Linked DNA regions of Rattus norvegicus. The protein of the gene in region 1 purifies or fractionates together with the protein of each later gene. This does not show direct contact. Links are inferred from orthologs where the notes say so. Each region holds a gene or a part of one and is shown in the gene's direction. Other genes may lie near its edges. The genes, in order: Scfd1 and Nsf.

Evidence for each region.
Region 2: the proteins of Scfd1 (region 1) and Nsf purify together in Homo sapiens (affinity purification with mass spectrometry; 3 studies listed by BioGRID and IntAct, with this or other methods). This does not show direct contact. The link is inferred for Rattus norvegicus from reciprocal best matches to the Homo sapiens genes SCFD1 and NSF.

Annotation. Positions count from the first base shown.
Region 1 is NC_086024.1:74,530,011-74,533,932, forward strand, and holds the start of Scfd1 (sec1 family domain-containing protein 1), read left to right. Parts: upstream 1-1,272; 5' UTR 1,273-1,285; coding exon 1,286-1,331; intron 1,332-3,922. UniProt on the Homo sapiens protein: Plays a role in SNARE-pin assembly and Golgi-to-ER retrograde transport via its interaction with COG4. Involved in vesicular transport between the endoplasmic reticulum and the Golgi.
Region 2 is NC_086028.1:89,315,778-89,319,599, reverse strand, and holds part of Nsf (vesicle-fusing ATPase), read left to right. Parts: intron 1-772; coding exon 773-880; intron 881-1,796; coding exon 1,797-1,872; intron 1,873-3,822.

The DNA of each region.
Region 1 (3,922 bases):
AATTATTAAAGCCAAAAAATCTGGAGTTAGATAAACAGCTACAGTAAATTTAGCTCTAAAATCATGGTTTTTATTCTCATAATAATGCAGTATAACTATCATTCTTGGTCTTAGCTTTAATGATTTATGACTCTGAGGGATATATTTTTCTTTATATGTTTATTCCCCGCATTACACACTATCGGGCCGAAATACACAAACATGCACACTGTATAGTGATGTTCGGATTGTCTTAGTATTTTATGATAATGTGCCTTATATAGTCTTGGCAAACTGAAATGGTAAAATGACAAATTTGTACTTAAAAGTGGAATGCTCAGGTAAATACGATTAAACTCAAAATGGAAGGTGGGAAAGACATTCTGCTTCCATGGACGCCAGAATCAAGAATACTTCCCCTACGACGCAAACTGTTAACTTTAGATAGCCTGTTGTAACTTTATAAAAATAGTTATCTTTATATCTGTCAAATAGAGATCATGTTTTTATTGTAAAAAATGTGATCTTGATTTTAAAAAATAAATTATTTGTATAATTTTGAAAGACAAGTTTTTCAAGGTATGATTTCATCTCAGAATCTGACTGCCTCAGAATTAACCCCTAATGCAATGTCATCGGTGGATTCATTTTGATTGGTAATAAGTTGTCATTGTATATATTTTTGATATTAATAAAATCTATTTGTAAACGGTCTATATGGGATTTATTTCACAATCACAGTGCTTTAAATCTACCAAAGCTGTCAGTGATCATCCAAATTCTGCTCAAAATCATTTGTTGTTTTTAGTACACTCCTGAGAAGAAATTGTGCCATTTGGCTTTTCTGTGATTTTATACCCTAGCAGGCCAAAGCCCTAACCTAGGTCATTTTCATGAAGAAATTGCACTGAGAATATTACGTTTGTAGGTTTTGTTTTCAGAGAAAAGAAGAAATTGACACAACTGTCATGGAAATCAAGAAAACGCAATTTCTGGCATTTCATTTGGTCTTGTAATTTTTATGAGGATTTAAACTTCATGAAAAGTGTACTATCAATTAAATTCTAAGCGCTTCTCTGTCCTCATGCCCTGAGAAGCAAAATAAAAGTAGCGACCTCAGGAGGCTTTTCCTGATTGGTGGGAATCGCTGCTGGGAATTCGGGAAAAACCATTGTCTGGGACTAAAGGGGAGGGCCCGGACTGAGGAGGCGGGTCTGCTATCTCTGCACCCGCCCCCTGGATCTACTTCCGGCGCGGGAGGTAGAGCCACGTCATCTTCAGGCTCCGAGTGCCAGCCGGGCAGTGAATGGTGGGAAGCAAGATGGCGGCCAGCATTCGGGAAAGGCAAACAGGTACTCACTCAGTCTTTCCTTCTTTTCAGTTTGTGCCTGAGCGGCGACCTGTCATCACCTCTGAGTTGTAGAAACAGCCCGGAGTTGAGCTTCAAGAGCTGCTCTACTTTGAGGTTGTGAGGGAGAGATGCTTTACAGCCTTTGCCTGTGTTACAAGAGGCTTAAGTAGGCTGGCTGTTTGCTATAGTGTTAGCTACTTATTTTTTAATTACCGAGTTTCAGAAGGCCATCACGGCAAGGACTGGCAGCTGGTGTTTTCTTTCCTATATTGTCACTTAACGAGATCTATAGGTTTGTGTTCGTATTTCAAGCTTCCAGGTTGGTTTAATTTTCACTTTCAGTTTTAGTGATTTTAAAACCTGTTTTTGACACTTGAGCCATGATTACAAAATCTAAGTATTCTTTTCAGAGCTCCTTACTTTATGCCACCTTCTTTGGATTCTATTGGGCGAAGCTGAAGAAAAATGTCAGGTGATAATGATTTCCTCCTGCAGCTTGCAGGAAGAGACTTCAAAATGTCAAAACTAATTTAACAGAGTTGTATTTCAATTGTTTGACAGATAGTAATCTTAAAATGAAAAAGTTGTATCTTATAAGTAGAGCATATTTGTATACCTATTTATAAGGTAAAATTTAAAGATACTTATTTCTTCCCTTGATTTTAGGTTTGTTTTTTATGTGAGGTACTCCTGATTTTCCTTATTTCCAGTAAACAACTCTAGTAACTTTGTGTATTTATACTGGCTCCCAAATAATTATTTATACATATATATGTATATCATGTATAAATGTGATATGTGTAATTCCAAAATGATTTACATATTCTATACTAATTGTCTAGAAACTTCCAAGGAGACTAGAAATAGGCCATAAGCCATAAAGAACTTTAATTCTCTTGAATGTATGCTTATTTGTATTAAAAACAATTAGTTACAAGCAATAGCGTAGCAGTAGAATTTGAACTGTGCCTGATTCCTTCCTTCCCTTGTCTTAAAAAAATGATAGGGGGCTGGAGAGATGGCTCAGCAGTTAAGAGCACTGGCTGCTCTTCCAGAGGTCCTGAGTTCAAATCCCAGCAACCACATGGTGGCTCACAACCGTCTGTAACATGATTTGATGCCCTTTTCTGGCATGAAGGTGTATGTACAGATAGAGTACTTATATACATAAAACAAACAAACAACAAATAAAGTCTTTTAAAAGAAAGTACCATCACTTCAATAAACAAAGTGTATTAAAAATGATAGATTTGAATGCAGCATACTGAACAGAAAAGCATACTGAGTTGTATATTTCTCACTAGGTAATTTAGTAAAACTGGTCACGGTAAAAGATAACTTAAATATGGTAAACAAATACTATTTGAGAATACTTGATAATTTCATTTGCAAGCAAATAGAGGCTCAGCTTCTCTTAGAAGCTTGGTTCTAGTATCTTAATAAAACTAAGTGAATTAGATTTTACTACCCATCAGTAAAACTGTCCTAATTAAAGGGAACCTTTTAAAAGTTGAATTTACACAACAGTGCATTTTAATATGTAGACATTGTAAAGACTAAAACCTAATATTTCATTTTGTCTTTTTGATTATATCAAGAATCCACGTTATTACTATATAGCTTGTTATTAAACTCATACATAAATGGATCATGTGTTATTTTTAGAGCAAAATCCTTTGTAGGAGTAACATTTCATTGATTTCTGTTGAGAATATTTAGGAACAACAATCATCAAATATTCTAGGTAGTAGATTCTTTGCTGCAAAGTAGTTTGCAGTCTGTTTGGGTGGATGAGATGATAGTCAATGCACTGAGAATTTATTGGTTTGGGTAGTTTCCGTTATCTCCATTTTATAGATGAAGAAACTAAAGTACAAAGGTGTTACTAGCATGCCTGTTTCTTGGTCTGTGTCCCTGTAGTACCCTGCCACCTCAAATGCCACCTTCCTTGTGAAAGCTTCATGCATTACTTTTTCTCTTTCCTGTCTTCCATTCAACAGTTAAGAGTAAGCCGCTCCCTCCTCTTCCTATTGCGAGTTCTTGCTTGTCTGTCTCCCTTGTCTCTCAGCCCAAATCAATTACTTTGTCTCTTGCTGTATTTCATCTGGCCTCTTAGCTTTCAGTATTATATATGCTTGTGTCTTGGTCTTCTGTTGCTGTTAAGAGATATCAATCATGAACATGACAACTCTTATAAAGGAAAGCATTTAACTGAGGCTTGCTTACAGTTTCAAAGTTTAGTCCATTATCATCATGGTAGGGAGAACGTTGGCCTGCAGGCAGACATGATGTCAGAGAAGTAGCTGAACGTCGAACATCCAGGTCCACAGATAACAGGGAGATAGAGTCTAGGCTTGGAAGGCACTTTCTGAAACTTCAAAGCCCACCTCCAGTGACACACTTCCTCCAATAAGGCCACACATCCTAATCCTTTCAAATAGTGCCACTCCCTAGTGATCAAGTAGTCAGATCTCATTCTCATTCAAACCACTATAGCTGGTGATTCCCCGGTCTACAAGACTAGTGTAGACTTTTATTCTGAATTCAGACCATTTGATATTAACAAAAGCTTCTTATAGTTCCTCATGCAAA
Region 2 (3,822 bases), on another chromosome or scaffold:
TTGAGCCTATTTGTATTCAGCTTGTAGGGTTTAACGTTTGACTTTAGATTTAGTACTTAATTAAAACTCTTTGACGTTTGTAATAATTAAAAACCCAATGAAAGACCATGAAAGAAAATGCTTGAAAATAAATATATAACCTATCTGACCACAACCAACGCGCCATTCTTGGTGGTAGTTGTATAGCAGAGTCGGTATTTCCTGTGACAGCTCAACACGTAGAGGAGGCCTAGCTTGTAAAAGGCATTCTGCAGGTCCTTCGTAAATGGACTGTTGGGTTTACAAGGCTCTATGCACTTGTGTGGCTGGCATTTCGTATTTATAGGAAGGGCTGACCCAGCACCGTCATTTACTGTGTCTGAACCCTGATGTATAGTCTGTTTCTGGATCTCAGCTGTCCTGTTTGTTTGCTTTTTGAGACTGGGTCTCTCTATGTAACCTCAACTGTCTGCTCTATAGACCAGACTGGCCTCGATCTTGTAGCTATCCTCCTGCCTTTGCCTCCTGAGGACTGGGATTCAAGGCTGATACCGTCACTGCCCTGCTGGATCTGGGTTTTCTTACAAGTATTTTCCCAAAGTGTTTGTGAGTGTTGACTAAGTCATCACCTGTCATACTGATGCACGAGTTTCCTTTTCCTGTCACTGGGTCTGTGAGTGGTGTGACTATGGAGAAGACCCGAGAAGAGTGGTTTTTCACTCTGGAAAACATTGACGTGGCAGGGAACCATTGTGCCATGAGCTAACCTTCCTCCCATCCCTTCCTTCCACAGCTTGTCTTTAGCTTCAATGATAAGCTCTTTGGATTGCTGGTGAAGGACATCGAAGCCATGGATCCCAGCATCCTGAAGGGAGAGCCTGCGTCAGGTAAAAGGCAGAAGGTGAGCCTTTCTCCTCATCTTTGCTAGGTAATCTTTTTGACATGATGTGTACAGGCTGATATGTTTCCGACTATTCTCCTGTCCTACTGTGTGCTCTCCCTGTGCCCTCCCTGTTGCTGCAGCCTGTGTCGATATGGAAATAGGAATTCAAGTACATCTAACTGCAGATCTACTAGCTGAACACCAGTATCTAGTCTAAGTCAACGGAGACTAACTGTGAAGACGCAGACATTGCCCTGTAGGTGTTTCAGTAAAAAAAAAAGGCCATGTGACTGGTTCTCACGTATACTGCTCTGCGCTACTCTCCCGAGCTCCCTCTGACCTGAGTGGTCTGTGAACCATTCCACCTTGCCACGCTACTTTGCTTTCACTCATAGTTCCCCTGGCGGTTGTTACCACACCAGGCATATACATCTCAATTCCGTGGCGGGCTTGGTGCATCCCACCATTATACCTTCTCTTGAACTCAATTATGTCGACACATGAAAAAACATACCACGCAATAACCCCTGATTCAATTGATAAGATATAATTTGCCCATCTAAACAGCACAAAATCCTGCACACACCCATCCCTTAAACATATTCATAGCCTGTACCTATGCGCAGAGAAGAATCTTAACATCTGCCGCCATGTTCTCCCAGCTCCTTCTCCTTATCCCCTCCCTTCTAAAGCCTCTGTTCCTGCCTCCCTTCCTTCTCGTCCAGTGATAGGCCTCGTTTTTCTTGTCTGCCTTCACCTGCATAATGACATCAACCTACATGTAGGAATTGTAGCAGATAGCTATGAGAAAAGCAAATGTAACTCAGATGACCGGTGGCAACGTTTGCTTTGCACTGAAAGACTTCCTTTCCCCCTCAAATCTAGCCTTGCTTTGAAACATCTATCATGTACTAATTATCACCTTTCTGTTCAGATTGAAGTAGGACTGGTCGTTGGAAACAGTCAAGTTGCATTTGAAAAAGCAGAAAACTCATCACTCAATCTTATTGGTAAGATTTACAGTCTTAGAAAATTTCAAACGAAGTGGCAATGTCTCATATTACTGTGGGATGGGTGGGGGTGGGGGGGAGACCCTTCCCTAAGGCTTGTAGATGCACTGATACAAGAGCTAAAGGCCTCAGCTGTAACAATGGGAAACGCATAGGCACATTTTAATTTTCTTTTCTCATAGCCATACTTAAAAACAATTAACAAGAAGCAATGACGTTTCTCAGTTTGAAATTCTATGATAATTTTAGGCTCACAAATACTTGCGAATGTAGCTCACAGGATCCCAGTAGCCATTGTCCGTTTCCCGTGGACCCCTTGCTGCTGCCCACACTACTGCCTTAGCTTGGATTTCACCGAGGTTTCCATTGTTCCCCTTCTCTCTTCCAGGGTCTCATTCATGCCCATCCCACCCCACATATAGCTTTTCTTCCAACACATTGGGTCTTGTTTACTAGCCTTACTTGGAGATGTTAAGATGTGCTAACTCTAATTTGTGGTTGACACAATTACATTCACGCCTGTCCCGGTAGAATAGAGAAGTTTTTCATTGGCTACACAGCCTTGTCCAAAATTACTTAACTTTGTTTAAATGTAGTTTAGGGGAGTTTTGTTTTGTTTTGTTTTTGGCGGGGGGGGGGGGTGTTTTGTCTTTTAGTCAATAATTTACTTACCAGTCTCTATTGCTATTTCTTTTACCTTTCTAGCAAAAGATTGTCTTATTTTCCATTGTGTGTGTCCTTGTGTGAGTATGTGTACTGTGTCCAGGTGTCCTTGGAGGCCACAGGGCGGCGTCAGATCCCCTGGACCTGGTGTTGTGGGTGGTTTGAAGGCTCTCAGCATGCGTGCTGAGAGTCAGGCTAAGGTCCTGTGTAAGAGCAGTGCATGATCTTAACTGCTGAGTCTTTTCACCAGCCCAGACTTGCCTCGAACTTGTAGACCTCTGGCTTCCAGCGCCCTAACATGCTGGGATCAAAGGTGCACGCCACATGCCTACGGACAAGCATAAACTCTTGCTCTAAATTTGATTTTATTTGTATATTATTTCATAATTTATCCTGCATAGTTTGTGTGTTTGAGCATGTGTGGCATAGTACATGTTTGGAGGTCAGAGGACAACTTTCGAGTCAGTTCCACTGTGTGAGCCCCAGGGTTCAAACTCATGCTATTCATCCATAAGAGCCTTAACTTACCACACCAGTAACCCCTAACTTGCTTCTTTTTTTTTTTTTTTTTTTTGCTTAACATGTTTCAAGCATCTTAACTATATCTCTACAATAGGATTTTAATGCCCTCCCCAAAATTATTTTTATGAAGGCCATCATGTCCTACTACTGACACCGGATATTTTTGATGTGATTTTTCTTGTATTTTACTTTCGTACATCTTTTGTTAAAATACCTTATCCCAAGGCAGGTCTATAACTTTCGTAGGTGTTTTCAAGTTAACTTGAAACAACTTTTCAGTTGGAAAATGAATTTGTATAGTGATTTGGTTTGCAGTAAACTTGACCACAAGATGGCAGTAGAGTATAAGCAAAATATTTTTGATCCTCTAAAGGAAAGCTTTAGTCTACAAAATTCTAACCAGAAAATTACCTGATTTTTTTTTTTTTTTAAAGTGTGGTGTTATCTTCTTTGGCTTTGTAAAAATTGTATTTCCCCCTTTTTCTGTTTAGAGCGTACCATAAGGCATCTTGTTCTTTGTGTCCAAGACAGGCTTGGTTCTCTGGAGTTACTTTAGGTGACAGTCTGACATTTAAATTAAACAGTTTGTATCATGAGAGAATTTGTAGGTTTAATTTTTTCAGTCCTTAGAGTCGTTAGTTTTTTGTTTTTGTATTTTTTTTTTTAATCCCCATGTGACAAGCCACCAGATTCATTCCACATATCTTCATAGGCCCAGGTCTAGGTAAATACATGTATCTCACACACACTAGGAGCTGTGAGCCA